4 linked regions of the Mus musculus genome follow. The protein of the gene in region 1 interacts with the protein of each later gene in a biochemical or structural test. Links are inferred from orthologs where the notes say so. Each region holds a gene or a part of one and is shown in the gene's direction. Other genes may lie near its edges.

The links.
Region 2: the proteins of Skp2 (region 1) and Ccna2 are reported together in a solved structure, tested with the Homo sapiens proteins (2 studies listed by BioGRID, with this or other methods). The link is inferred for Mus musculus from reciprocal best matches to the Homo sapiens genes SKP2 and CCNA2.
Region 3: the proteins of Skp2 (region 1) and Ccne1 form a complex in vitro, tested with the Homo sapiens proteins (2 studies listed by BioGRID, with this or other methods). The link is inferred for Mus musculus from reciprocal best matches to the Homo sapiens genes SKP2 and CCNE1.
Region 4: the proteins of Skp2 (region 1) and Cdc34 form a complex in vitro, tested with the Homo sapiens proteins (3 studies listed by BioGRID, with this or other methods). The link is inferred for Mus musculus from reciprocal best matches to the Homo sapiens genes SKP2 and CDC34.

The regions. Positions count from the first base shown.
Region 1 is NC_000081.6:9,135,686-9,143,624, reverse strand, and holds the start of Skp2 (S-phase kinase-associated protein 2), read left to right. Parts: upstream 1-3,170; 5' UTR 3,171-3,433; coding exon 3,434-3,441; intron 3,442-3,921; coding exon 3,922-4,193; intron 4,194-7,939. UniProt on the Homo sapiens protein: Substrate recognition component of a SCF (SKP1-CUL1-F-box protein) E3 ubiquitin-protein ligase complex which mediates the ubiquitination and subsequent proteasomal degradation of target proteins involved in cell cycle progression, signal transduction and transcription.
Region 2 is NC_000069.6:36,565,866-36,572,348, reverse strand, and holds part of Ccna2 (cyclin-A2), read left to right. Parts: intron 1-45; 5' UTR 46-525; coding exon 526-711; intron 712-1,369; coding exon 1,370-1,613; intron 1,614-3,259; coding exon 3,260-3,369; intron 3,370-3,537; coding exon 3,538-3,761; intron 3,762-4,417; coding exon 4,418-4,625; intron 4,626-5,235; coding exon 5,236-5,349; intron 5,350-5,674; coding exon 5,675-5,808; intron 5,809-6,066; coding exon 6,067-6,115; 3' UTR 6,116-6,483. UniProt on the Homo sapiens protein: Cyclin which controls both the G1/S and the G2/M transition phases of the cell cycle. Functions through the formation of specific serine/threonine protein kinase holoenzyme complexes with the cyclin-dependent protein kinases CDK1 or CDK2.
Region 3 is NC_000073.6:38,099,655-38,106,800, reverse strand, and holds part of Ccne1 (G1/S-specific cyclin-E1), read left to right. Parts: coding exon 1-14; intron 15-117; coding exon 118-205; intron 206-453; coding exon 454-522; intron 523-3,606; coding exon 3,607-3,755; intron 3,756-3,879; coding exon 3,880-4,015; intron 4,016-6,099; coding exon 6,100-6,246; intron 6,247-6,916; coding exon 6,917-7,012; intron 7,013-7,146. UniProt on the Homo sapiens protein: Essential for the control of the cell cycle at the G1/S (start) transition.
Region 4 is NC_000076.6:79,682,885-79,690,234, forward strand, and holds the end of Cdc34 (ubiquitin-conjugating enzyme E2 R1), read left to right. Parts: intron 1-1,933; coding exon 1,934-2,020; intron 2,021-2,120; coding exon 2,121-2,218; intron 2,219-2,348; coding exon 2,349-2,483; intron 2,484-4,964; coding exon 4,965-5,175; 3' UTR 5,176-5,514; downstream 5,515-7,350. Other genes in the region: Gzmm (granzyme M isoform 1 precursor), read left to right, coding at 6,527-6,581. UniProt on the Homo sapiens protein: E2 ubiquitin-conjugating enzyme that accepts ubiquitin from an E1 ubiquitin-activating protein, and catalyzes its covalent attachment to other proteins by an E3 ubiquitin-protein ligase complex. In vitro catalyzes 'Lys-48'-linked polyubiquitination.

The DNA.
Region 1 (7,939 bases):
TTTTACAAAGGAACTTGAAGATTTAATGTATGTTTATTATATTACACTGTACATTGTTTTTTTAGTTAGTTCCTACAAACTAATGAGAAAAGATTGTTAGAATTTTTGCTTAATAAGGAGTAGATGGCAGAGCGGATATGTTATTTACCCAAGTTCTCACACCAGTATGTGCAAAACGAAGTAAGGTATCCTGACCACAGAGAATAGATTTCAATTTCATGTCTCCTCTCCAATCCAGACATCCATTTAAAATACAATTTGTTTTAAATAATTTCTATGGTTCCATTTTCATAAAGAATAATTTAAAAATATTCTACTAGTCTTCAAGATTACTCAAGACTCAATACTCAAAAAGTCATGTTTAATAGGGAATTTAACTTTTTCCTTTGTGGGTAATTATTTCATTTAAATTACAGTAGTTTTTCTTTTCTAATTTTTATGAAAGAACTACAAAGTAAGCTAGAAGAAATAAGAATATTTTTGTTATTGATCTAATCTGCCAATACAGATCATTAAATCAAAGAAAATGAAGATAACAATCAAACTGAGGAAGAAAAGGAGATAGTTATGGAATTTGACAGGCAACTGGAAACATGCTTGCTAAAACTGTCTCTTGCATTTTGTTCCTCTAACCTAAATAACAGAAGGAGCAAAAGGAATCTCTTAGTCTCTCTATGTCACAATGGTGCCTTTAGGCTTCATTGTATTTCTCTGGTTGTATTTGATTTTCAAAAATGGGACCAACAGTTGTACACATATAGCATATATGTCAGTTGTGATGGACACACATACAGCATATATGTCAGTTGTGATGGACACACATACAGCATATATGTCAGTTGTGATGGGCACACATACAGCATATATGTCAGTTGTGATGGACCCACATACAGCATATATGTCAGTTGTGATGGACACACATACAGCATATATGTCAGTTGTGATGGGCAGTCCTTTCTAGACTCTCCGGGGCCCTACAGACAGTGACTGCCTGTAACTACGACATGGTTTTAGCTGTGTAAATGGCACTGCTATTGCCTTTCTCCATTTATGTCAGTGTTCTAGCTGAGGCTTCCAGAGAACATTAGACATTATTCAACCTAATGATACTTTCAGTTATCGAAAATGATTTTGTTATCCTGGACTCACATTCATTCTAATGCTAAAACTATGTTTTAAAAGACTTATTAAAATAAAATACAATGTGTTAAGTAAGATTAAATAAGATTAATCAGGAAATAAAATATTTTACATTAGCAGCAATCACAATGTAGTGTTTAAGAGATCAGTCTCTTAAAGTCTCTATGGTGAGTTTCTATGTAGCTAATAACCTCACATCTTCAATGGACACAATTCCTCTATCAAAAAGAATCGTAACGGGCAGTGGTGGCACACACCTTTAATCCCAGCACTTGGGAGGCAGAGGCAGGTGGATTTCTGAGTTCGAGGCCAGCTTGGTCTACAGAGTGAGTTCCAGGTCAGCCAGGGCTACACAGAGAAACCCTGTCTCGAAAAACCAAAGGAAAAAAAAAATAAAAAGAATCGTGTGTGTATCAATACAAACCTTTTCAGTATATTATGGAAATAGCTGTGATTAAAGAAATGCAAAAGAACACCGGTTTCATTATCAAGGCAAATCAGGAGGCTCCTAATTTCAAAGTTGATAGGCTTTCCTTTCCTAGAGAGAACCTTGTGCCCACTAATTTAAATATCCTAAGGTCTCTGCTAACTCTTAGCTGAATTCAGGGCTGTTTTATATTTACTAGAATTTACTCTTGAACGAGTTACATCCTAACAGAAAGGACAAAGTTCAAGAGAAGGCAAATGAGTTTTTCAAAGTAACAAAAGATAACTTTATACACTATTTCAGAAGGTCTCACTTTAGATACTTTCCATAACAAAACTGTGACTACATACTTATTCTCCTAGTCTTTCTTTTCAAGTAAAACCAATTTGCAAAAAGGTCTTTTTTTTTTACACCAATCTCACTCACAGGAACTAAAAGTTCATGAATCTCTTCCTCTCAAGAAGTAACTGATGCAAAGATTATGCTAGAAACAAAGACAAAACTGAGCATGAAGGATTTAATTCCACTATAAAACGAATCTTGCTCTCTCCACAAAGAAACACAAGTGTATGCAATCTAACATACTAAACCAATATTCTAATGTTTTTGATGAAGGTGGCCTGCTTTTTTCTCAACTCTATAAATCTTCATTTTTACTGGACTAGAAATGCATCCCCCTACCCTCTCCCCTGTTGCACAGTTTGCACACCTGAATTTTGCATGGTCATTCTAATCTAATCGCCCCCGACCTCTTCAGAGGCTAAATTAGCATAGTTTCTAGGCAGAGAGATTCTAGGACAGGCTGTGGATTGAGTCAGAGGCACCTAAACAGCTTTCAGGGTGGTCTCTCCTTGCAAGCGGAGCCTCCCTTTTTCCCTTTGGTATTTGGGAGACTCATCAAGGATCCAAGAGGATGCACGCGGGAACCACTGCTGGCTCCTGCCGCCTTAAAAATAAACCATCGCTCCTCTTGGAGCTGCGCTTTAGCTCGAAAAAGGCTTCCCCTCGCACGCTGATTTGATCTTCAGTGCCAGCCCATGAGGTGTGCCGCGTCCTCGAGCCTAGTTTACAAGTGAGGAAAGGATCGCGTCCACAGACCCAGTCCTAAGGGCCGCCCACTGCCAGGTGGAGGAAGGCGAATGGCAGGAGTGCCACCCGCAGCCTCTCACCTGGCGGGCCATCGAGACCCCGGAGATGGGCCTGGCGGCGGCGGCCACTCACCATCTGGAACTCCCCCCAAGTCTATGTCCGCCAGGGACTGGGCCGGGACCCCAGACCCTGACGCACCTCACGCGTCCCCGCCCCCCTCACGCTCACCGTCGGACCTCGCCAGACAGCGTCTGGAAGGGACTCAGAAGCTTCGCGTCCGCCGCAGCCTGCCGGGGTCACGGATCCTTCAGTCCCGGGCGACCGTGGCGGTGATCACCCGAAGGCCCGTGAGCTCCGGGAAAAGGAAAACCTGCTCCCAGTCAATCGGCTGACATTTCCCAGCCAGCCGGAGCTCCACCCACTTCCGCCTGCCTGTCCTCCTCCTCCTCCTCCTCCTCCTTCAATCCCGCCCGGCGCCGCAGGGAGTTGTGGGTATCTGGAGGGTTGGTCCGAAATCAGAGTGGAAGAACCCAGGCAGGACTACGAGCTAGGCTCGGAACTACAATTCCCAGCAGGCAACGGGGCGTCAGAAGGCGGCTGCTGGAGAGCGGGATGCAGAACTCCGCGCGCGCGGTGGTGATGGAACGTTGCTAGTTCGCGGGTCCAACTGCTGGGGCCCCGGGGATCACTCTAAGCCGAGCGCTAAAACAGGAGTCTGGAAGGCAGGCAGCGCTTCAATTAATTCAAGCATTCAAAACTCCTGAATCAGTGGACACCATGCATAGGTAAACCGATTGCAAAAAAACCGGACAAAACATGAATGAACCGTTTGAATTCTTTTAGGCCGCGAATGTTGCTTCTTGTTCAAATAATCTGGTTATGTGAATGTTTGCTTAGAGAAAAAGGATGGATGAATGCTTTAGTGCGAATATCAATGTGGAGTTTAATTTGGCTTCCTAATTAAGTTTTCCTTCCTCTACTTTGAGTCATGGTATCAGTGCCGTCCCTCTTTTTCCCTCCACGGGAAGAAATTATTGAGGCCTTCTGCGTGACCATAAATCCCAAAGCCTTTCAAAGTATATATGTTCCCGATTTTTCTCTTTCATTCTTGTATTTCTCTCGCTTGTAGGCACGTTTAAAAAATGCAGTACTGTCACTTGCTGGGACTTTTCTCCACTCCATTCTTTACTCTTCTTTCATGCCTACCTTGGAATTATTTAGGGGTGTATTTTCAAAAGGAATAGAGAATGTCTGCCCTTCTGCAGGAAGCACCTTCAGGAGATTCCGGACCAGAGTGGCAACGTCACCACCAGCTTCACGTGGGGATGGGATTCCAGCAAGACTTCTGAACTGCTATCAGGCATGGGTGTCTCGGCCTTGGAGAAGGAGGAGGTGGACAGTGAGAACATCCCACATGGACTGCTCTCAAACCTCGGCCACCCCCAGAGCCCTCCAAGGAAACGAGTCAAGGGCAAAGGGAGTGACAAAGACTTTGTGATCATCCGTCGGCCGAAGCTTAGTCGGGAGAACTTTCCAGGTAATGCACAACACTAAGATCCAAACTGTATTGTAATGGGTTGAACTATTTTGTTTTAACTAAATTCGATTGAATTATTTCCTTGGGGAATCTTTTTGGATCGGTGCCTAAAATTGCCTAGTTTTGGTGCCTAAAATTGCCTAGTTTGGAAGTGTGGCAGTGAAATGGATTCCAGTCATTAAGTCTTCAGGAATCTTGGTTGGTCTTTATCTTGTGGTCAACAATTGACTTGAAGCTTTTTTCCTGCCCTTTTCCTTAGAAAGGAATCTTCCTGCTCAAAGTCCAGCTCAGTACACTGACATATGGGAACAGAAGCAGGGATCTTAGAGGGTCCCCTTTTGTCTCTATATACTTCTTTGTATCTGAGCAAGCTTTGTATGGTAATGACTTAGATTATTGGTAGGCACATTAGGAAGGTAAATGTTACTAAGTAGAAGAGACTTAGATTGCTCCGCTTGCAAGCAGGCCCTTGGGGGTGTGGTGTTTCCCTTACTGTGACATTGCATCTACAGTCATAGAACCCTGAAATGTGGTCTCATCCCCACTGCCCCCACTACCCAGCTAGTCACTGTGTCTTTCACTCTTGTGTGGCAGCTGTTTCAAGCTTTCATCATCTCTTCCTGGATTATTGTAATAGATTTATATTGTCAGCTTTCTTCTCAGCTCTGTCTCCAGGAGGCAGGGTGGATTGATGAGATCAGAATTTACCTGAAATTCTTCTCTCACTAGTGACTCCCACTCCTTGATTCCCCAAACATTTTTAAATAAAGCGCCTCCAGGGCAGATCCAGACTCAAGGACTGGCAGCCTTAGAGTAAATATAGTGTGTTGACCTGAGGCTTGTCAAGGTTTCCCCACCCCCACCCCCTAGTCATTTAAAAAAGTGATTCAGGGTCGGGCAGTGGTAGCACACGCCTTTAATCCCAGGATTTAGGAGGCAGAGGCAGGCGGATTTCTGAGGCCAGCCTGGTCTACAGAGTGAGTTCCAGGACAGCCAGGGCTACACAGAGAAACCCTGTCTCAAAAGAGTGATTCAGGAAGTGTTTTTGAGAGCACACTGTCCTCCACAGTATAGTGGCTCCAGATAATAGCAGTGAACAAAACAGACAAATCCTAGAACTTCCATTCTAGTGAGGAAATGCTGGAAGTCCAATGGATATGGTACTTTCTGTAACATGTTAGGCCAACGTGGCTAAAAACAAAGAGGGGGTCAAACTGAGGCAGAATGGAGGAAGTCTTGGAATCTGAAGATAGATTGCAAACTGGTTATTGGCTGACATCCTTATTTGGGCTGTGACCTTTAAGCAAAGACAAGGGGAGAATGCAGGAATACGCGTGAAAATGTCCCTTGGCATAGGGAACCTAAAGTAAAGGGAAGCCACATAAGATGCTGGAGAACAGGAAAGCAGAGTGAGAGTGGACAGAGTAGGGAGAGGTGCGGCCTCAGGTGGGGCTGATCTTTCCTCATTGGAACACTCACTCCTCTCCCCTCGTTCAGTGTCGTCCATTGAGACAGGGTTTCTTTGTTTGTAGTGTAACTCACTGGCCTCCAACTCAGACAGGCTGGCCTCCAGCTCAGAGATCTGCCTGCCTCAAGTGCTGGGATTAAAAGAGTGGACCATTGGCGCCCCGGCTCGGTGACCCCTCCAAAGGGACACATTGGTTAGCTGAGGCTGAACTGTATCGGGTAGAGGATAGGCAGCAGACCCCTAGAGATTTATGTAGAGCAGTGAGAGAATGATAAGCCGTGGTCAGGATGAAAGCAGTGGAAGAGGTGACCAAAGTCTAAACTAAAATTGGGTGAGGAATGGAAAAAGACGTTGAAGAAAGCATCAGAGTGAAGCCTTGCAAAGCCAGCGTAAAGAAATGGATTCTTCCGTCCTTCCTTCGGGCGCTGTCTGCAGACAGGGTGGTGAGCAGATCCGTGGCTTGCTTGAAAATCCCTGTTTTGTAGTCCCCTGTGGTGTCTCATGCCTTTGAACCCAGTACACCAGTGGCCAAAGCTGGCAGATCTCTGTGAATTGGAAGCTCTTTGGCCTATACAGTGACTTCCAGGACAACCAGGGCTACGCAATGAGACTCTTGTCTCAAAAAAAAAAAATTCTGTTTGGGCTTCTCAATACTTTTTTGGAAAGGGAGTCATCTTCAGGTTATAGCATGTGAGTCCACATTAATGCCAGGTATGGTGGCACGTCTCTCTGGTCCCAGTTTAAGAGGCTGTAGTCAGAAGATGGGGATTTCTAGAAAGCATGAGCCTCGCAGTAAGACTGTCTCAAAGTGAAAACATAACTGAATATATAATAATATATGAGATTAACTAGAGGGGTATGGAAGTAAGTTCAGACAAATCTACATTTAAACCTTGATGCTGCCATTGGGAGCTACCTTGGGAAGTGACTTGAACTTTCTGGGCCTTAGTTTCCTTATCTGTGAAATGGAGCAATAATTCCTACTTAAAGTGTTCATCTGAACATTGAGTAAAACTGTAAAGGTCTTAGTATGACAGTGGCTTATAATAGGTAATGGTCCACACAGTTTCTGACACTGGCTTGAGAAGCATCCTCTGTCTACAGTAATGTTAATCTGACTCTGCACATATAGAAATCTTTTTCTTTATAAAACTTAAAGTGACTCTTATTTTTAGAGCCTGGGTTTTTAACAGTAGCAATTTGGTGTTTGACCAACCAAATGTGGTGAGATAGATCCTGCTAAGATGAGTAGGTTTTGATTAACTTGCCCATTGTACATAGCTTTGGTTATAAAATATGACATCTACGTGTCCACAGATGTAGGACAAAAGTCATCTTTGAAGCAAAACACTGTGAGGACCCAGACAGAACATAAGGGAGGGTTGCTGTTTCTTAGGAGTTTCAAAATGGAGTTGAAGAGGAAGGACAAAGTATATAGCAGCTGCACACAGCTACATGCCTGCCAGGAAGACAGAGGTGTTAGTAGTAGCTCAGACCCTGAGTGTCCTCAGGGCTGGAAGGAGGGAAGGAGCCCCTTGTGCAGAAGTGACTCATTTCCCATCCCAGTGGATGTGTGGAGTCCTTGGCTACTTGGCAAAGCAAAGGTGTTGGGGAGAGAGGAACTGAACTGGTCCAATCAGTGAGTCTACGTCTGCATTTCTTTTTTCTTGTTATGTTTGGGTTTTTTTGTTTGTTTTTTGAGACAGGGTTAGCTTTGTCTTGACCATCCTGGGCTTTGTAGACTAGGCTGGCCTTGAACTCTCAGAGATCTTCCCGCCTCTGCCTTCCAAGTGGTATGATTAAAGGTGTGCACCATTACCCTGGCTTTTTTTTTTTTTTTTAAGACCAATCTTGTATACTTCTGGTTAATCTTGTATTCACTATGTAGTCTTGAAATCTCAGCATTTCTCCTGCTTCAGCCCACCTTACAAGTGCTGACAGCTTGTGAGGTATCATACATGACTCCCCCCCCCCCTTTTTTTTTAATATACTCTCATTTTGTAGTCCAGATTGACCTTGAACTCATAGCAATCCTGTCTTCGGCTTCCCTAGTGCTTAGACTATAGACAGCACAGAAATGAACCTAGACTTTAAGATTGGTGCTTAATGGGCCCAGTGGTGGTGGCGTACACCTTTAATCCCAGCACTTGGGAGGCAGAAGCAGGCGAATTTCTGAGTTCAAGGCCAGCCTGGTCTACTAAGTGAGTTCCAGGACAGCCAGGGCTACACAGAAAAACCCTGTCTCGGAAAAACAAAACAAACAAAAAACAAACAAAAG
Region 2 (6,483 bases), on another chromosome or scaffold:
CAGGACGGGGCAGTTTGTCATTCAGATCCATACGCTCCTGCCTAGGCGCCACCCAGCGACCAGGAGAAGGCGCTTCACCCCTTAGCTGAGGCGAAGGCCGACACCTCGAGGCCCCGAGGGCTTGTCTGGACCGCCCAGCGGCTCCGGCAGGATCCTATGAGGCTACAGATCCACTGAGCAGCAGAGATCGGCCGAAAGCGGCCGCCCGCCCCGCCCTCCTCTGCGCAGGCGCGTCCTCAGGCTCCCGCCCTGTAAGATTCCCGTCGGGCCTTCGCTCGCGGCGACCGGCGCTTCTGGTGACGTCACGGACTCCGGACGCCCTCATTGGTTTATTTCAATAGTCGCGGGCTACTTGAACTACAAGACCAGCAGCCGGCGGGCGGCGCGCAGCTCGCGGCTCCTGGGCTCTACGCTCCTCCCGCCTGCAGCCTCTGCTCCGCGGGTCGGCCGCCAGGGTCCCGCGCTGCTCCGGAGCGGCGGGCGCTGTGCACGCTCTGCCGCCGACAGAACCGGACCGGAGCCGCGATGCCGGGCACCTCGAGGCATTCGGGTCGCGATGCGGGCTCAGCCCTGCTCTCGCTGCATCAGGAAGACCAAGAGAATGTCAACCCCGAAAAACTGGCGCCAGCCCAGCAGCCGCGGGCGCAGGCGGTGCTGAAGGCCGGGAACGTGCGTGGACCCGCGCCGCAGCAGAAGCTCAAGACTCGACGGGTAATAGGGCGCGGGGGTCTGGAGGAGGGCCGGGCGGGAGCGGTCCTGGGTTTAGCAGCCCAGAGGGCCGGAAAGCACGCTGAGCATTCCAGGGGGAGTCAGGCTGCAGTCTTCGCGGTCCGGGCGTTTCTAGTACCAAATAGTCCCACGAGCTCTGCCGACCCGTGTAGACCGCCCTTCGGCACTAGTGGCGCCGCGTTCCAAAAAATGCCCGGGGTCATACCAAGCGTTGCCACTCGCGTGTCGACTTCCCCCAGCTGTGTACCTTTCCCTCCACTTTTAAAGCCAGGCATTGCATTAGGATGTAGATCCCTTCCCCCTCACCATCTGCTTCCCAGATTACTACTTCAGGGAAGGACATAAAGCAAGTATTCTTCGTGGTAAATTCCGCCATTTTAGCCAGACTTGCTGTTTTGCTCCACCCTGGGGCTAAAGTTGTGAATCAGTTCTTTGCCCTAACTTTAGTCTTTGATTAGTTTGGAATTCCAGTCCGTTCTATTTATAGCCTTTGTAGAAATGGCTGTGACAGATCGGTTTACACACCTTTACCTGGGCTTTGCCTCATGGACTTATATGTTTCTTAGAGTATTTGGAATTAAAAGCTGATACCCACCGGGCTAGAAGCAAAGTTGTATTGAAAAAGATTCCTCCTCTTTAGGTTGCTCCTCTTAAGGACCTTCCTATAAACGATGAGCATGTCACTGCTGGTCCTTCATGGAAAGCAGTCAGTAAACAGCCTGCCTTCACCATTCATGTGGATGAAGCAGAAGAGACTCAGAAGAGGCCAGCTGAGCTTAAAGAAACAGAGTGTGAAGATGCCCTGGCTTTTAATGCAGCTGTCTCTTTACCCGGAGCAAGAAAACCACTGACACCTCTTGACTATCCAATGGATGGCAGTTTTGGTAAGGTTGCTTTTTATTTTTACCAGTCTCTCTTCCTTCTTTCCCTCCTTTCTGTCTTTTTATTCCCCCTCTGGGTTTCTTGAGTATCCTTGACTGTCCTGAAACTCAATCTGTAGACCAGGCTGACCTTGAACTAAGAGATCCACCTACCTCAGCCTCCCAAGTGCTGGGATTAAAGGCATGTGCCACAACCACCAAGCCTGTGCCTTTTATTTTTGAGACAGGATCTCAACCTGTAGCTTATATCTTGATATTTTGAGTTTTAAGATTATGTCTTACCCGATCATACACAGTGAGTTAAGATTACCGCAATCTCATGACTAGTACTGACCTATGAAAGGACTCAAATCTTTAACCGGCAGGAGGGCACTGCAAACCAACATCAAGTTTAATTAGATCGTAAATATCTATCTTAATCTGACTTTATAAATGTTTGGCTAGGAGAATAGATTTCAGTTTTGTGTCTGACTCACTCCTTAACATGCCAGCCCTAAGAGTGCTCCTTGAGGCTACAGTTTTAAGCATTGTGATATCTACCATTCGTTTAAAACTTGTTTGAATGTTCATCAGCTTGTAGGTCAGACACATGGAAGGCAAAATAGCTGCGGTAGACAGCTCTGCGGTTGCTATGACATCACTGCATGGAGACCAGAGATACTGGTATCTGTCACATTCTACCTTATGCTGTGTGTGTCAGCAGAAGGGGTGTGCTTGCCTGTGCTGGTACAAGTAGAGACTAGTGGAGTACTTGACTTTGGGGTATCTTCAACCACTCTTCCATCTCATTTCTTGATAAAAGGTTTCTTTGGAGCTCAGCGATTTGGCTAGACAGCCTGGCCATCGAGGCACAGGGATATGACTATTTTCAACCCTTTTCCTCTCCCACTCCTGGGGTTACAGATAATGCTTCTGTGTGGTGCTGGGAATGCAAGCCATATCTTCATTCAGGCATATGCAGCAGGCACTGCACTAAGCCATTTCCAGCCGCTTTAGTTTACTTAGTTCTGCTGATGGGGAAGGAGGATATGGAAACAGTTTATTACACAGATTCTCCCATCTCAAGATAACTGAAATGGTAAAAACTAGAGCTGAGTATATTAATGCCTATAAACAGCACTCAGGAGGCTGAGGCAAGATTGCCAGCCTAGGGCAACAGAGTCAGTTTCAGGCCAGTTTAGCCTATAGAATGAGACCCAATTTTAACAAACACCAAGTCCCTTACAGATCAGTGTTTGGACATGATATGACAAACTTGATATCTTTACTAACATTTGTTAATCATGCCATTTACCTGATTCTAATGACTCCCTCATTATGATCTGACTATGGCAACCCATGGGATCTGCAGTCTCTCTTAAGGCAAAAATAATTATTTTAAAACTTTGCTGTTACGTTCTTGTCCTAAAAGAACCATTGTTTCATCTGCTCATCTCTGTGGAGGATGATACTTTAAAGTAATTCTCCGTCTTCTTAGTAGCCTATTGGTGTACATACATGCATACATTTATTTCTGTTTTGGAACTAAGGTTATCCTAGAGCTTTGACAAAAGTCCTAAAACCAGAATTAGATGTTCTATGTTGCTTTGCTATTAGGGTGTTTTTGATTGGAAGAGATAAATACTTTGGTTTTAATCTCACACACACAGAATCACCACATGCTATGGATATGTCTATTGTCTTAGAAGACAAGCCAGTGAACGTTAATGAAGTACCTGACTATCAAGAAGACATTCACACGTACCTTAGGGAAATGGAGGTAAGGCTCTGCTCATTACAAATGGCTAAGTGAAGCAGAGAGGGTAATGCTGACGCCTGCTAACTACTAGCAAGTTACTCTAAACTTAAGATTATGGTGTATGCTTCTTTGTGAATGATGAAGTCACCTGATAATTATGTTAACTCTGATTCCCCCCCCCCCCTTCAGGTTAAATGTAAACCTAAAGTGGGTTACATGAAGAGGCAGCCAGACATCACTAACAGCATGAGGGCCATCCTTGTGGACTGGCTGGTTGAGGTGGGAGAAGAATATAAACTACAGAATGAGACCCTGCATTTGGCTGTGAACTACATTGATAGATTCCTCTCCTCCATGTCTGTGTTAAGAGGGAAGCTTCAGCTTGTAGGCACGGCTGCTATGCTGCTAGCTTCGTAAGTCCACCTAGTTTGGTTCAGAGTCATCATTCACTACTACTCCCCCCACACCCCCATTTATATATTTTTTGGATGTTTTGCCTGCATGTATATCTGTAGCACATGTGAGGTCCCTGCTGAGGCAGAAGAGGTCATTGGGTCCCCTAAGCTTGGTGTTATATACTGTTAAGAGCACCATGTGGGTGCTGAGAATTGAACCTGGGTCCCAGCCAATACTCTAACCATTGTACCATCTCTTCAACACCCAGTTTTAGGAATGGCTGTGGGATGATTCTGAACAGAGAGTGAAACTTATTTTCTAATCTAATATATAAAGCTTTCTAGATCTGGATTTCACATGCCTTGAATGAGCATAGGCCAACCACATTTTATCACACTAGATTGAGTTTGAAAGTGTGGCTCTTCTACAATAAAGTGCTTTCTGGGGTATAAGCTGTATCTTCCTTCTATCAGGAGATATTGTATGCAGGGGGCGAATCAGAAGTCCTTTAGTGACTTGGGCCTTTGAATTGGTTTTAACCATCTCAGCTAGAGATGTCAGTCAGCTGTCAGTGGGATGTGGTTGATGGAAGTGAGTGGAGTCTACAGTCTTTGCACTTCAGATTAAGACAAGACCTTCTGAATAAACTCACTCACAACTGCTTTTGTTATAGGAAGTTTGAAGAAATATACCCCCCAGAAGTAGCAGAGTTTGTGTATATTACAGACGATACCTATTCCAAGAAGCAGGTTCTGAGAATGGAGCACCTAGTATTGAAAGTCCTTGCTTTTGACTTGGCTGCACCAACAGTAAATCAGTTCCTTACCCAGTACTTCCTGCACCTGCAGCCTGCAAACTGTAAGGTTGAAAGCTTAGCAATGGTAAGTCCAGTTTGGGGGTTGTTTTTAGGTTGCAATTAAGGGGCAAGCACTGGTTTCGTCAAATAACACTGCTTAAGTCTTTTCGGACAGTTAATGCTCCAATACACAGAAAATGCTATGGCCCTCTCTACCTGTGGGCTCTGCACTTATGGTATAATAAACAGGCATTAAACGTAGCTGCCCATGTACTGGATAAGCACACACCAATCATATGTGTATTGTCTATTTTGTTTTACAAGTAATTCAGTGATATTCTATGTATATAGCATTAACTTATGAAAATAGCATGCATCTTTTATATGTAAGAGATTTAAGTATCTAGTGTCCATGGATAGGGGCTGAGAGGTTCAGGAGAGAACTTCCCAATGAATACACAAAAGTGACCATGCTGGAAAGGCGCTAACTAGTGGCTTAAAGAGAACAACCTAGTATATTAGGGGAGAGAAATGTAAGCTGAGAATAGAGGAAAACATTGAAATAATTTTCCCAGGGCTGATACAGAACCAGTGAGATCCAAGACAATGGAAACTGGTCAGGAAGCAAGGATTCAAAATCTTGAGTCTTATGTGTGATTATAAAAGTTGGGGTTTTGTTTTGTTTTTTATTTCAGTTTTTGGGAGAACTGAGTTTGATAGATGCTGACCCGTACCTTAAGTACCTGCCTTCACTCATTGCTGGAGCTGCCTTCCACTTGGCTCTCTACACAGTCACAGGACAGAGCTGGGTGTGTATTACCAGTTGCCTTCTCCAGTATGGGTGCCGCTTTGATTTGGGCTGAAAGCTTAGCTGTAAAGGTGCACTGAAAGCTCTGCTTCAAGAATCTGAGCCTTCCACCTGCTGCAAGCAGGGGAAGTAAACAGCCAAAATAAAAGATGGAGTGAGTGAGCTGAAACAGGGGGGACACCCTGAGTGAAGAATTGAGGAGGGAGCAACATTTAGAAATAACAAAACATCCTGTCAATGATTAGTGCCAATATTTAGATCAACTGTGAGCTTGTGGTCAGTGCCCTGTGCTGTTACAAAAAACTCAATGGTTGTCCCTTCCCTAGCCTGAGTCATTGGCACAACAGACTGGATATACCCTGGAGAGTCTTAAGCCTTGTCTTGTGGACCTTCACCAGACCTACCTCAAAGCGCCACAACATGCCCAACAGTCAATACGGGAAAAGTACAAGCATTCAAAGTAAGAATCCAATTCTTGTTGAATACAGTAACCTGCCACTACCTCAGTTGGCTCTTAAGTCATGTATTAGGAAGCTTTTGTGCCTTTGCTTCTGGTAAGAGAAGGGTAAGGGGGCAGATGTATGTGCTCTACGTATCAAATGTTTTTAAATTCATAATCAAGTAAAAGTAGCATTTCTCCAGTCTTGGGGTACATGAATTGTTCTGTAATCTCCCCAATGAATGTTTACTAAAAGTTTTTTTTTTCTCTGCTCAACAGATATCACAGTGTTTCTCTTCTCAACCCACCAGAGACACTAAGTGTGTGAGTGAAAGACTGCCGGCTTTGTTTGAAACAGGAGTCGCTCGGAGTCCATGCTGTACAGTTTTTATGTCGGGTTTTAGTTTCACAATCACTTCTGAATGTAGATGGTATAGCCACAGACAAATTATGGTATCCATTGCTTTTAAAATGGTTTTAATTTGTATATCTTTTGTACATGTGTCTATTTGGATAATTTTAATTGGTTAACATTGGTGCTGCCAACTGTCAAGATATTGAGAATAAACTGATTTGGAAATCTTTGCAAGTCAAAGTTAATCTGAGATAAAAATATGAATGATGTCGTTTAGAAACTAACTTGATTTGTTTTATTGTACAGTGGGGAGTAGGAAAAGATTTTATAAAACTAAAATA
Region 3 (7,146 bases), on another chromosome or scaffold:
ATGCCAAGGGAGAGGTGAGTGGCCTCCCTGCTGCGGGAGGGTAAGGGTGAGTAGCGGTGGGGGAGGGGCGGCCTGAGTTTTTGGGGAGCAGCACCCCATGACACCATGCCCTTGCAGAGACTCGACGGACCACAGCAACATGAAAGAAGAAGGTGGCTCCGACCTTTCAGTCCGCTCCAGAAAAAGGAAGGCAAATGTGGCCGTGGTGAGTACAAAGGATACAGGTTGGGAAGGGGACAGCCCACCCCCCCTTCCATCTTACCTGGGTACCAAATTTGGTTCTTCTTACCTACTAGTGAAAAGAATTAGTTGAGAGAGAGGTTTCCTTTAGTTGAATGTCGTTCATGACCTAACAAACATTTCCCCCTTTTTCTCTTGTGTTTTTTGTCTTTGGGTCGCACCATGTGGACCCATGGTGGACCGGGATTTTTTTTTTTTTTTTTTTTTTTTTAGTTTTTGCAAGACCCAGATGAAGAAATTGCCAAGATTGACAAGACTGTGAAAAGCGAGGATAGCAGTCAGGTAGGTCTGCTGCCTACAGGGTATTCTGCCTCCTGGGTTCCAGGTTTTCTTTCTTCCAACTTTCCCAAAACAGAGCTGCAGGCCACATGGCTGAACCTCTGAAGCTTGTCAATGTGGCCTGGTCTCAGTTGGGCCTGGGGTTGTGGGAGGGGTTTGTGTTTCCTGAATGGCACCTTTAAGGTTACAGGTACTGATACCTGGAGGAACCAGAGTGAGTGTATAATTTGGTCCTTTCTAAGCCCAGGGGGAAACTGAGTCTTATTAGAAGGTAACCCAGAGTCCTTTGCAAACCCAGCAGAGCTGGGCCTGCAGTCTTACTGCGGAAGGCTAGTTGGGGGATAGGACTCCCAACTCTTTCTCCCTTGTCCATTCTTGTGACTTTTCCTAATCCCAGCAGTAGAGAAGCAAGGGCAGGCCCTCTGAGTTCCACGCCAGCCCAGACCGTAGAGTGAGACCCTGTAGCAAAAACTAAACTTTTCTCCTATGCAACCCAGAATGTTCCACCATCAGCTCACTACATTGATCACTGCTGTCTGGACCTTACGTGGCCTCAGCAAGGATCTGTAATGACGTGTGTCTCAACCAGTATTTCATTGGCTGCTCCATTTCTTCTGTCCCTCCTAATGTGGTGTTTGCCAGATCTTTCTAATGCAGCATGGTATCATAATATGAGAAGATCCTTGCATGCAGAGAGAGCTTCTATTATCTCTTTGCCTCCAGCAATGGCTGGGGACTATAGTTATGGCTGCAGTGGGGGAGCGGCCTATCTCCAAAGTGGCTGGTGACACCTTTGGCCTTCATCAAAGATAAAGCTGAGCAAGACCAGTATTCTGTTGGCCTCATCTCTCTTCTCCCAAAGGCTAGTGGTGACTGTAGAGCAGGGAGAGACAAATGGTTGTGAGGAATGTCTTCTGAGCAATGATGTTCTGCCAGCTAGGGCTGCAGCAATGTGCAGTTCTCGGCAGGACCCCAGTAGACATTTTGTTGTTGTTGTTTTTTTAAAAAGGGGGGGGTCAGTTTTTTTCCTGTTTAAAAAAAAAAAAGTAGCCCCTACAGAAGAAAAATGCATCCCATATTTTTTTCTCCCATTTTCTTCAGCAAGTTGTTTTAGTTGTCATTATTGAATTGAGTTCAGCCCAGTGTCTCAACTTTGAGCCAGTGAGAGTCCTCATATTAAATTCAATGATACTGAAAGCCCACAAAGATTTTTGATTCTTATCTTCAGCTACTATTTTTGGTTTTGAAAAAGGGTCCCTAAATGTAACTCAGGCTGACCTTGAACTCAATGATCCCTTTCCCCAGCCTCCAGAGTGCTGGGCTAGAAGCACGCACACTACCACCACTTCAGTTGCTCTGAATGACTGCATGTCCATTCTCCTGTTAGCCTTCTTCACAAACCTTTTCATTTTATTGTATTTGGTTTTTTGTTTTTGAGATGGCTCCCACTGTAGTAGCCTTGGGTGACCTGGAGCTCACTATGTACCAGGCTGGTCTCAAACTCAAAAAGATTGCCTGAGCACTTCTGAGTGCTGAGATTAAATGCAGGAGTCATCATATCCATCAAGACATAACTTTTTTCAGAACGCTAGTCAGCCATTTTTCTACTTGTTTTGCATAAGGAAGAACTATGGTATGAGGATAAAAGGTGGTAAGCCACAGTTGCAGTTGATCTCAAAGTCAGGCTGATCTGGCACCGTATAAAACTTCATATACACTCAAAACCAGACTTAATTATTCTGCCTTATCCACTGGCTTCTTAAAAAGCCAACTTTGAAGCCCTTTTGTCTGTTGAAGGCACACTTAATTTGTCTATGAACTGCAGGTTGGAAACTACTAAATTTATCTCTAAAGGCCTGCTCCCAGATGTGCCAGCCACCTGGCTGTGGAGGGCGACACCTAGCTTGTACCTTCAAAAGAACTTGGTCTTGATTGAAGTATGGTGGTAATTGTGAACCTTTTGAGTCAGGGCCGGTGATGCTATACCAAACATACAAAGCCAGAGCTGAAAGGAAGCTGCCTTTCTCGCACAGCTGGCAGGCGCTGTTGTGGGTAATTTGCATGCTCAATTCTTTCTACATTGAGCAGAGAGAAGCTTTCTGCAGCACTGGTTGGAAATCAGGGGTTCCTGTGAAAATGGTCTGGGTGCCGCAAGCCACCCAGGTTCAATTCAGGAAAACATCCCCAGGCATATCCGTTTTGTTTAATGGTCTCTGCTTAAAATAAGATAGCTGTTGGTGCTAGGTACAGTTATGAGGTGAGGCAGGAGGATCATGAGTTAGAAACCATTGAACTGCATAAGCAAGACTGGAACTCAGAAATCCGCCTACCTCTGCCTCCCAAGTGCTGAGTGAGATTAAAGTTGTGTGCCACCACTACCCAGCTAATTTATTTTTAAGTATGAATGCTTTGCCAATCTGTATGTCTGTCGCATGTTTGTACCTGGTGCTTGCAGAAGCTAGAGAGGGTGTTGAATCTTCTGATTACTTCTACTAGAGTAACGTGGGCTATTGAATAGGATATGAAATCACTTCTTTGGACTCATTAGTTTGATCTGTGATCACAACTTAGTGCTAATGAGGTAGCAATTTGTCTCGCTTTGAGTTAGGGGAAACCAAATGAAGCTGTTCCATTTATATGACTACTCTTTTTTTGTAATATAAGTTACTTTTTTTTTTAAGGTGTATTTATTTACATGAGTACACTGTAGCTGTCTTCAGACACACCAGAAGAGGGCATCAGATCCTATTACCGATGGTTGTGAACCACCATGTGGTTGCTGGGAATTGAACTCAGGACCTCTAGAAGAGCAAACAGTTAGTGCTCTTAACTGCTGAGCCATCTTTCCAGCCCCATAAGTTACTTTTTGTGTCCAGTTGGCCACCTGAGTATTTCAGTTGATGTCCCTGTTTCTGAAGTTAGTTACAGAAGTGTCATGGAGTCTTTGAGGCATGCCTTTGGCTTTTGTGTCTTCATACTGCCTCCATTTTAGCCGAGGCCAGCATATCAAGCCCAGTAATCTCCCAGTCCATGAATGGACAAGTTGCTGGTTTGCCTCCAAACAATTGGCATGTGTTCTATTGGCAGCCCTGGGATGATAATTCAGCATGCGTGGACCCCTGCTCTTTCATCCCCACCCCTAACAAAGAAGAGGACAATGAGCTTGAATACCCCAGGACTGCATTTCAGCCTCGGAAAATCAGACCACCCAGAGCCTCCCCACTTCCCGTCTTGAAGTAGGTGTTGACTTTGACCCATGGCTTCTCAGTGTCATTGGTCTTTCTGGTCTACATTACTGTGGGTGCAGACTGACATCTATCTATCTGAGTTTTTCATGTTTCTTGTTCTTTCTTTTTACAGTTGGGGCAATAGAGAAGAGGTTTGGAGGATCATGTTAAACAAAGAAAAGACTTACCTGAGAGATGAGCACTTTCTGCAGCGTCATCCTCTCCTGCAGGCGAGGATGAGAGCAGTTCTTCTGGATTGGCTAATGGAGGTGAGCTTGGAGGTTCCGGCTGCTGGGGCATCACCACTGTTACCTTTCTCTGTGCTGCTGCAGTCTCTGTGTGCTCTCTAAACTGTTGAAGTTTCTGAAATAATCTTGTCCCTTAGACATATTAAAGTTGGCATTTCATTGTTTTTCCTATCTAAGTGTGAACAGTTACAAAGTTTGTTTTTCTAATAAGTTATTAATTACAAATTAATGTCTACATATATTTATATATGCTAAATTGTTTTAAAGATGTCTACTGGAGGGCTGGAGAGATGGCTCAGCAGTTAAGAGTACTGGCTGCTCTTCCAGAGGTCCTGAGTTCAAATCCCAGCAACCACATGGTGGCTCACAACCATCCATAATGAGATCTGATGCCATCTTCTGGTGTCTGAAGACAGCTACAGTGTACTTACATATAATAATAAATCTTAAAAAAAAAAGCTGTCTACTGGAATGCACATACTAGCTGTGCAGCGGTCACTATCATTAATTATAGGCATATATGAACAGGTTATGTGCAGCAGTCAGATCTCAGATGTGCTTATTTGAATTCCCGGGATCCATTCTTTACCCCCCAGAAGTATTTCTTAATAGACTGTCTTGTTCTAATCACATTGGGAATCCACTTCCCTAGTTCTGTGCAGTGGTTAATCAATGAGCAAGCACATGAGGCTGGAGTAGTCTGCCTGCATAGTCTAGGCCTGTGGCTCCATTCCAGACAGCTCAAACAAATAAAAGAACCCTCCATATTGCAGATTTTTTAAAGTATGACAGATTAACTAGCTAATCACTAAACTTTTTAAAATGAAATTTCAAGGCTGGGCCCAGCTGTGAGTAGTCTGATGGTCTAGCATGCATGACACCCTAGGTTTAATCCTCAGTAGTACCAAAAGAAAGTGAAATTTGATGAGTGGTGCACCTCTTGCTGGGGGTAAACGTTGAGTGACTTGTAGTGCTTGGATTCAAGGGAACTTCCGGGGTACTTATAGTGAGGAAGAAATGGCATTTTCTGCTGAGAAGTGGAAGAATCATGTTGGCAGGTTTACCTGTATCCCTACTTTATATGATATGCAGCCTGTTGGGACCGAACCTAGAATCATGCTCTGCATTCTCTGCTGACTTGTCGCTTCAGGGGCCTGGCTCAGACAAATTGCTTACATTTTGAGTCTGTTTTATTTTAGATAGGCTCTCATGTAGCCCAGGCTGACCTTGAACTTGCTATGTAGTTAGAGGTAATATTAAACTTCTACCTCCTCCTCCCAAGTAGTGGGATTATAAATATATACCACCACAAGTGGGTCTCTCTTTTCTTTTTAAAAAAAAGATTTATATGTATGTCTGTGTGCCACTGTGTTTATATACTCACAGAGGTCCCAAGAGGACGTCATCTAGAATTACAGGCAGCTGTGAGCCCATCTGTGTGTGCTGGGAACCGAACTCAGGTCCTAGAGAGCAGCACGTGCCCACTGAGCTGTTTGTCCAGCTCCAGTCTGCTTGCTTGTCTCTAGCATCTTCAGGAAGTAGGTTGCAGAGTTGTACAGATTAGACATACTGTATAAGCCAGGTGTTATGGCACAGCCTGTTGACTACATCCTCACTACTGCAGAAAGAAAGAAAAGCTGCTGACAGTGCTGGTGGACACTCGAGGAGGCAGAGGCAGGTGGAGCTCTGAGGTCAAGGCCAGCCTGGGCTACAGAACAAGTTCCATTTCTCGCCAGGGCTACACAGTGAGACCCTATTTCAAAAAGAAAATGTAACTGGTATTGTTCAGCAGTGAAGACTATACCAGTTCTTTTTCTGAGTCACGGTGAAACCTGTGAAGGGGGTTGCATTCTTAGAACTGTAGACTTTGTGGAGTGGTCTCTATAAAAGTGCTACTTTGGTCAGACCTAGCCTGGCTGATTTGCTCTTGCTGTTTGTGTAAGTCATAGTGTGCTCAGTTCCTGGGTCTCACTGGGCTGTGCTTAGGAGGAGTAGGGTGACAGCCTTGCATAAAAGCAGTTAGCTTTCTTACTGTGTCAAAAGTCAGGCAAGTTCGCTTGTGCTGCCCCTCAGGAGCCTTTTCTAACATGGAATCCTTTTCCCAGGTGTGCGAAGTCTATAAGCTCCACAGAGAGACGTTCTACTTGGCACAGGACTTCTTTGATCGTTACATGGCATCACAACATAATATCATAAAAACACTTTTACAGCTTATTGGGATTTCAGCCTTATTTATTGCTTCAAAACTTGAGGTAAAAAAAAACAAAAACAACAACAACAACAAAACCTCCCTAACATTCTTTGTGTGATAAGCATTATTTCTTAAATTCTGCCCCTATGAACAACTGTCATATGCACCTTGAATTCTCTTAACTCTGACGCTTCTAAGTTAAGGTAGACAGTGTCAGGTGGAGGCGGGTAAGGAACAAGGCCATAGATCATTTAGTTTAGTAGCTACTTTAACCATAATTGACCTTGGGACTGAAGAGATTGAAATTGTGGCATAGTGGTTTCCCACTTGGGATCCTAACACTTAGACAGCTAAGGTAGAATGGGCAGTTTGAGGCCTGCATGCCCTCAAAATAATATAAAAAGGGTTGTCGTGGGGTTCTTTATAGACTATAGGGTGAATGAAGAAGTCTAAGCAGTTTATCCATGAGTCTTTTTGAGACAGAATCTCTGTAGCTCTAGCTTGCTTGGATCCAGCAGCCTCTGGAGTTGTGACATTAAAGGCCACCACAGCCAGCTAGCTTTACTTCTTATAGCTAGCATGCTTTCAGTTGCTGAAGTGAGCCAGTGTTGAGCCATTGATTGTATCCTCTTTCCACGTCAGCATACTAGAGCCATTTTGGATGCATGTCCTAATCTGAAAGTGCTAGGAACGGTTTCTTCTAATAGCATCTTCCTTCTGTTCCCTTTTAGGAAATCTACCCTCCAAAGTTGCACCAGTTTGCTTATGTTACAGATGGCGCTTGCTCCGGGGATGAAATTCTTACCATGGAATTGATGATGATGAAGGCAGGTTACACATTAATATCGTGTGTGTGTGTGTGTGTGTGTGTGTGTGTGTGACAGAGAGACAGAGAGAGACTGTCTTTCCCTTGCAAGGTGTGGTGTGCCCACCACCACCGTGGGTCTTATCCAGTTAGCCA
Region 4 (7,350 bases), on another chromosome or scaffold:
CACCCTTCCATAATGCTTCTGGTAAAGGGTCTCTCCGGGGACAGTTGTTTTCCTTCTTGTCCCGTCCCCCTCTCAACCCCCCCCCTCCGGTTAGTTCCCCCTACCCCAAGACACAGAAGCCTCTGGAGCCCCCTGCTGGCAAGCATTTTCCCAGGTTGTTCCTCACCCTACCAGCATGTGGTAAAACCTGGAAAGGTTCTTAGGTTGTCCCAAGACATAAAGGACCACGGGCAGCTGCTAGCTGGTATCCCAAGGCCCTGCCCCCTACGCTGGAACACAGAACCAGGGCAGCCGCTGGCCGATGTGTCCCCAGAGAAGGGACGTGTAGCCTGGACAGCCACCTGCTCCAGTTCCAGTAGAGGCCCTGATAGGGCCTTGGCAGCCTTGCCTGCTTGGACAACAGCCACCTTTAGCCCTAGCCAGGCTTTATGTAATGCATTCCAAGGGGGCAGTGGGGGGTCCACCCTGAATCTTGGAGCCACACCCTGGGTTCCTTCTTTGGGCCCTGGACCCTAGAGCTCTGTGTTTGCCCCACCCTGACAGCCTTTCTCAGGTTCCACTGAACAGGTGGCTTCTTAGGGGCCTGATTTTTCCTTCTAGATAGTGTCGTCTGCCCTCTGGTGGCTTCACGCTCAATGCACCAGATGTTCTTGTGGTTGGGAGCAGGGAACACTGGGAAGCCTCCAACACTGGAAATGTGTGGCCAGCTATAGGTACCCCCATCAGCACAGTTAGATCATCCTGCTTACTGGGGGCTAGAATAACTAGCAGAATCACAGAATCTCATGCTAGGGCCAAAAGGGACAAGATGAGGACCGGGTGGATGCACAAATCCCAGCCAATCTAGGGTCCCTAGTGTAGGGCCATGGTAGATATTTGTTTGTGTGTCTTCTTCCTTGCCTCCCACCTGGATGTGGTCTGAATTAAGAAATATCTGGATGCTCTTAGCACCTTGTCTCCTGTATTTGCTGGGAGGGGCAGTGGGAACTGCCAGGAGGACAAGTTCTGTTCAGAGCAGGGTCACCTGACCTGTTCCTCATCTGTAAAGGGATTGTGGGTAGAGTCTCCTAGACTCACATAATTCTTGAGATAGCTTAGGATGCTCGGCAAGATGTCAATCAAGTCTGTCAGCGTGGGAGCCTCCTGTATGGTGTGGGTGGCTGAGACATGGGGAGACTCTGTAAGGGGGCAACTGTGAGGAGCTTCGTCTGGACAGCCCAGCCTGTTTCACTTTGGGGCTGTCCAGGAAGAGGTTGGGAGCACCCTTCCTGTTCCTGAGCCTCAGTTTGCTCATCCGTATAAAGCATCCGGAGCCACAGACGTGAGGGGTGTTGCAGCAATCCCACTTTCCCCTGCTCTCCTGAGACATCAGGGCTGACAGGCCACACTGGATGTGTGTGTCAGCAGATCCTCTAGCTTGAATTCCTGGCCAGCTCTGAGGTCACAGGCCAGTCTCCCTAAGGGCTCTACTTGTCCAGGGAACACTAGAAGCTGCCTTTGGGGAGCCCCAAGACTAGGGTAAACCTCAGGCCTTCTCTACCTGTCCAGAGTCTGGGGGGCAGTTGGCAGGGTGAACTTTTAGCCACAAGCAACTGCTGTGGCCAGGCAGATGGTTCCAGCTTGTCTGGTGACTATTCTTGGCCTGGGCCCCTGAGCTTGGATAGTGTTAGTTTTAGGCCTGAGGCTGTCCAGGAGATCTGCTGACTCATTCCTCTAGCTAGCCCACACCAAGTGATACTTACTGCCTGGCCTTTCCTAACCTGCATGTCAGGTCACAGAGGTGCTTTGTGTGTCCCAGTGTACAGAGACTGGGGTTGGCTTCAGGACCTGAACACCAGGGGCAGCCACTGCTTTTTGTCCCCGTTGGGCATAACCCCTAATTCCAGTGCTCAAGGGGCTGCCATTGAGCCACCCCATTTTCTACCATCTGTAGGCTCGCCTCAAGTTCCCCATCGACTACCCGTATTCCCCACCAGCCTTCCGGTTCCTCACCAAGATGTGGCACCCAAACATCTATGAGGTAAGACACTAAATACCTGCCTCAGGCACACTCCACCACACACACCTCCTGCCTCCCTTGCACGTGCCCGCCCCTCGTCTAACCCTCGTCACTCTTACAGACAGGGGACGTGTGCATCTCCATTCTCCATCCCCCAGTTGACGACCCACAGAGTGGGGAGCTGCCCTCAGAGCGGTGGAACCCCACACAGAATGTCAGGTGAGAACTGCCATGGTGTTGTACCATGGGCACCCCCCGGCACCCTGTATCCTAAGGTCCCTTCTTCCTCGCTCCAGTCTGGAGCCCCCAGAATCTATGGGGAGCTGAGCTTGCACCCACGGCCCCACAGAACCATCCTCCTGAGTGTAATTTCGCTGCTGAATGAGCCCAACACCTTCTCGCCTGCCAACGTGGACGCCTCGGTGATGTACAGAAAATGGAAGGAGAGCAAGGGGAAGGACCGCGAGTACACGGACATCATCCGGTGAGCGCTGCTCTCAGCCTGAACAGTGCAGCTGGGTCTCTACAATAGATGCTGCCTGCTCTGAAGAGTGACCTGTGTCTCCTGGGTGGGGTGGGGACTGTTGTGTTTCTGTTCTTGCATCCCCAGCTGGATGTGTGGAGGGCTCTGTAGCCCCCAGAGCACCGAGTTGACCACCTAGTATGGCCAAGATCCTCTTTGCCTTGTGTTTGGCTTAACTCCATGAGTGACTGGGCACTCTAGGCCACATCCTCACCATCTGACATCACTCGAATTTGTGCTTCTGAAACTTAGAGCAGTTTTGCAAAGTGGGGAGGTCGCTGAGCCCACTGTGAGCCTGTCCTGAGACAGGGACCCAGGCTGCAGCCTGTGCAGTCCGTGAGTGGTAATGTCTGTCATCACTTCTCAGCGCCTGTCTGCGGTCAGGCAGTCTCTGCACTCCCCAAGCTAGGTATGACGTTTCACTTGAGAGATTCTAAGCATGTGACACCCTGCCTCTATCTAGTCAATGCTGAATGTTAGTATTTATTACTTAGCTTTTTTTTTTCCCCAAAATTTTATTATTATATGTAAGTACACTGTAGCTGTCTTCAGACACTCCAGGAGAGGATAGGGTATCAGATTTCATTATGGATGGTTGTGAGCCACCATGTGGTTGCTGGGATTTGAACTCAGGACCTTTGGAAAAGTAGTTGGCACTCTTTAACTGCTGAGCCATCTCGCCAGACCCCTATTACTTAGCTTCTGTGTTTTGTTTTGTTGTTGTTGTTCTTGTGGGGATTTGGGGGGTGGGGTTGAGACAGGGTTTCTCTGTATAGCTCTGGCTGTCCTGGAACTCATGCTGGCCTCGAACTCAGACATCTGTCTGCCTCTGCCTCCCAAGTGATGGGATTAAAGGCATGCGCCACCACTGCCCAGCTAGCTTCTGTGTTTTCTGAGACAGGCCTCCATATAACTCCTTATCTCCTCATGTTCATGATGTCAGGATGACAGCACATGCTACCTCTTAAGTGACCAAGTGCTTGACTACACAGTGACCCAAACACATGGGGCCTATAGTGTTGTCATGCTTGTCGGCCAGTTGCCTGGAGCCACAGACAGGGCAAGCACTTGCTCAGCAGGAGCCCTGTGGCCTTGTCCTGCAGAAGGCAAACCTGCCTTCTCAGAATTGGTATAGGCTGCAACTTGGTAGTCAGTGCTAGTCCAACATGTGCAAGATACTGGGGTTAGTCTCTGGCCTTAGAACAAGATGCATGTAGCCGCCATCGTCCTGCATGGAGGTATTAGTTATTCAGGAAGGTCTGAGCTCTGTACTATGGAGGTGTCACCTTCACAATGGGCAGGTGAGCAAGGATCCCTTGAAGGCTTTGTTCTCTGTTGAGACTGGCCTGTAATTTTCTGCCTCCTGCTCTTCACCGGCAGGGAAGAAGGCTGATTACCCTGTGTTGTGCTATAGCAGCTCTCCAGCTTCCTGGCAGCCCTTAGCCCAGCTCTCCTGGCTGCTTCCTCACTGTATCCCTGTCCCAGAGCAGGAGCCCCAGGCTATTTTTACCATTCTGACACCAGGAGACACTCAATGTGACCATGAGGCCTGTACTACTCCTGAGATTCAACCTGAGAGCCAGTGTCTAGTCAAGGACAGGAGAGCTGGGAGCCTGTGAGAAGGGCCTTGAGGGCAGGTTGGGCTGTTAGAATGAGCTGCTGTCACAGGCTTCCCTCTAACATTGTTTTGTACCCCATTCCCTCTGGGAAGCTAAGACCCGTGTCAGCTCTACTTGCCTTTTGCATTAGGACCTGTGCACTGCGACTGTCCTGAGGATGGCCTGACCTCTCAGGCACTTGAAGCTCTGTCCCAGGCCCTGATTTCTTTACTTAATTGCTGCCCCCTGTGCAAGGAAGCTCTTATGTGTTGCTTCACCCGTATCTTTGTCACTTCATCCATGGCCTGTGGGGCCTGGAACCTCATAAGGTTCTTCTGGGACTGCCCTTCATCAGAGTGCCCCTCAGGTCAGGCTGCAGTTTGGGGGAGTTTGATGTTGGTGTGGAATGTGGGTAGGTGTGTGCTCTTTAACCTGGAACTAGTGTCGTGGCCCCCACAGTACTGGGATTACAGCATGGATCCTGGTGTGCCCAGCTGTTTCTGTGGTGCTGGGAGCTGGCCTTGGGTCCTTGTGCTTACACAACAAACACTCTGACTGCATCACCTCCACTTTTTTTTTTTTTTTTAATGACTGTTGTCATAAGACAGATCCTATTACAGCTGAAGCCACCCTGAGACTCAGCAGGCCTCCTGCCTCAGCCTCCAAGTACTAAGTGACAAACCTGTTTCCCACAGCCAGCTGTGGTTACCTTCCTGCTGGGAACTGGCCACTCCTTGTCCCCACGCCCTTTATTCCCTCCCACCTGCTCCCTGCCCTCCATTCAGTGTCTATTCTTGGAATCCCATTGTCCTGGGCCTTGGCCTCACCTGCCCTGTCTCCCCAGGAAGCAGGTCCTGGGGACCAAGGTGGACGCGGAGCGCGATGGTGTGAAGGTGCCCACTACGCTGGCCGAGTACTGCGTGAAGACCAAGGCGCCGGCGCCCGACGAGGGCTCGGACCTCTTCTACGACGACTACTATGAGGACGGCGAAGTGGAGGAGGCCGACAGCTGCTTTGGGGATGAAGAGGATGACTCTGGCACCGAAGAGTCCTGACCCACGTCCCTGAAATAAACTTACAAATTTTACCTCAGCAGGACCCGTGTGGGCCTCAGGCGACAGACTACCTCACCGAGGTTCCATGTGGGCTCCCATCCCATGATCCTTAGGTCCTCTTACCCCGTATTCCCCATGGGTTTTCCTCGGCTTTGGAGAAGAGCTGTGGTGCAGGGCAAACACCCCACTCAGCTTTCAGATGATGACAAGCCTGGGAGGCTGGGGACCGACTGCCTGGTGGGGAGCCAGAGACTCCAGCCCAGCCCAAGGAAGGCCAGCACCACAGTCTCCTCTCTGCTTTTGGTGTGTGTGAAATAAAATAAAATAGCTTTCTGAGAAGCTGAGAGAATCACCTAGGACGCCGGTGGCACTCGGTACTGAGGGCCACCTGGGTAGCCCGGCCAAGGCCGTGGGATGGGCAGGAAGAGATAGTGACTGTTAAGGCTCAGGATTGTACAGGGGCCCCAGGCCCAGAAGCAACTTGCTGCCTGCAGATCCCACCTTCCTGCATCTGGCACTGTGGCTGTCTGTGTCCGCCTCCATCCTGCAGTCAGAAGGCCTGGGTCCTGAGGCGTGCAGAGGACTAGTATCCCAGCAGTCCTTGTGTCCTGGGCACTTCTTCAGCCCTGGGAACTCCAGTGCCTGCCTGAGGAGTCCCTGTGGCAGGCAGCCTGGTGACTCCCCACAGGAAGGACAGGCTGAGTGATGCTCTGACCACATCATGCTGTGCAGGGTGGCTACAGTGACCCAGTGCTGAAATAGCATTGGGTGCCATGTAAAGAAAGGAAAAGAAAGTGTCACTTTCATTGCGTGGGCCTGTTAACTCTCCAGAGTTCCAGTCTCCAGAACAAAGCTGTACTCTACTGAATAGCACTTCATGGAACCTGTGCTGCTTATAACTGATGAGAGAAGGACAAGTTGTTGGAAAGGCGTTAGTTCAGGCCTTCCTCTACCCGTATAATTTGCAGCCAGCCTTATGTACAAAGTTGCAGGGCCAGCAGTAAGGCTCAGTGGGTAGAGGCCTGCCACCAAGCCTAGCACAGGACCTACACGGCTCAAGGAGAGAACTGACCCTGTGAGTCATCCTCTGTGGGGGTTGAGGTCCATTGAGACAGACCCAGTGTTTACCTGGTGCTAATCACCAGAATGAGCATCACTGGGCTATAGTTGCTGCCCCCCAGGCAGGGGGCAGCTTTGACAGCAGAATTGCTTTCTAAAACCACACAGCAGGGTGTGAAGTAGGAGGAGTTGACACTTGTGCAAGGTGGGTGGTACTGGGAAGGCCACCTGTCCCCACAGGAAGAGAGAGTGGGGAACCCTTTCCCCCAGGGACCACTGATCCTGTGCCAGGATGGAGGTCTGCTGGTCCCTGCTGCTACTGCTGGCCCTGAAAACACTGTGGGCAGGTGAGCATTCGGGGGAAACTGAGGCCCAGAGCCGGGTATCCAGAGGGCTGTGGATGGGAGGCATTACGTACAGGGAAACTAGCAGATGATTCAGAACCCTGAGTAAAAACAGCGTAGAGCCGGGCGCGGTGGCGCGCGTCTTTAATCCCAGCACTTGGGAGGCAGAGGCAGGCGGATTTCTGAGTTCGAGGCCAGCCTGGTCTACAAAGTGAGTTCCAGGACCCCCAGAGCTATACAGAGAAACCCTGTCTCAAAAAAAAAAAGAAAGAAAACCACGTAGCCTGGTGACAGGCCTCTGAGCTCAGTATTTGAGGGGTCTGAGGCAGGAGGATTGCCATGAGTTCAGTTAGAGTGAGACCTATCAGAGGAAACAAAATGGGGTTAAGGATATAGCTTAAGTTGGGGCATATGCCTGGTGTACAGAAAACCTGGGCTCCATACTCCATTCCACCAGGCATGGTAGAGCACACCTGTCATCCTAGCACTGGAGGTGGAAGACCAGGAATTCAAACCCTTGCTCAAACCCTTGCTCTCCAGTGAGTTTGAGGCCATCTGTGCTACAGAGCCTCCTGAGCACTGACATTAGAGGTGTGTGGCTACCACACATGACTTTCTTTTTGTAAAGGTATTGCCATGTAGCCCTGGCTGGCCTGGAATTTATAAGTAAATACCCGCTTCTTGAGTTTGGTCAATGAGAGGCTGTGCTACCATCCTGAGGTACAGATGGCCTACAACTCACTGTAGAGCTGTGTCTCATGCCTGTAACCCC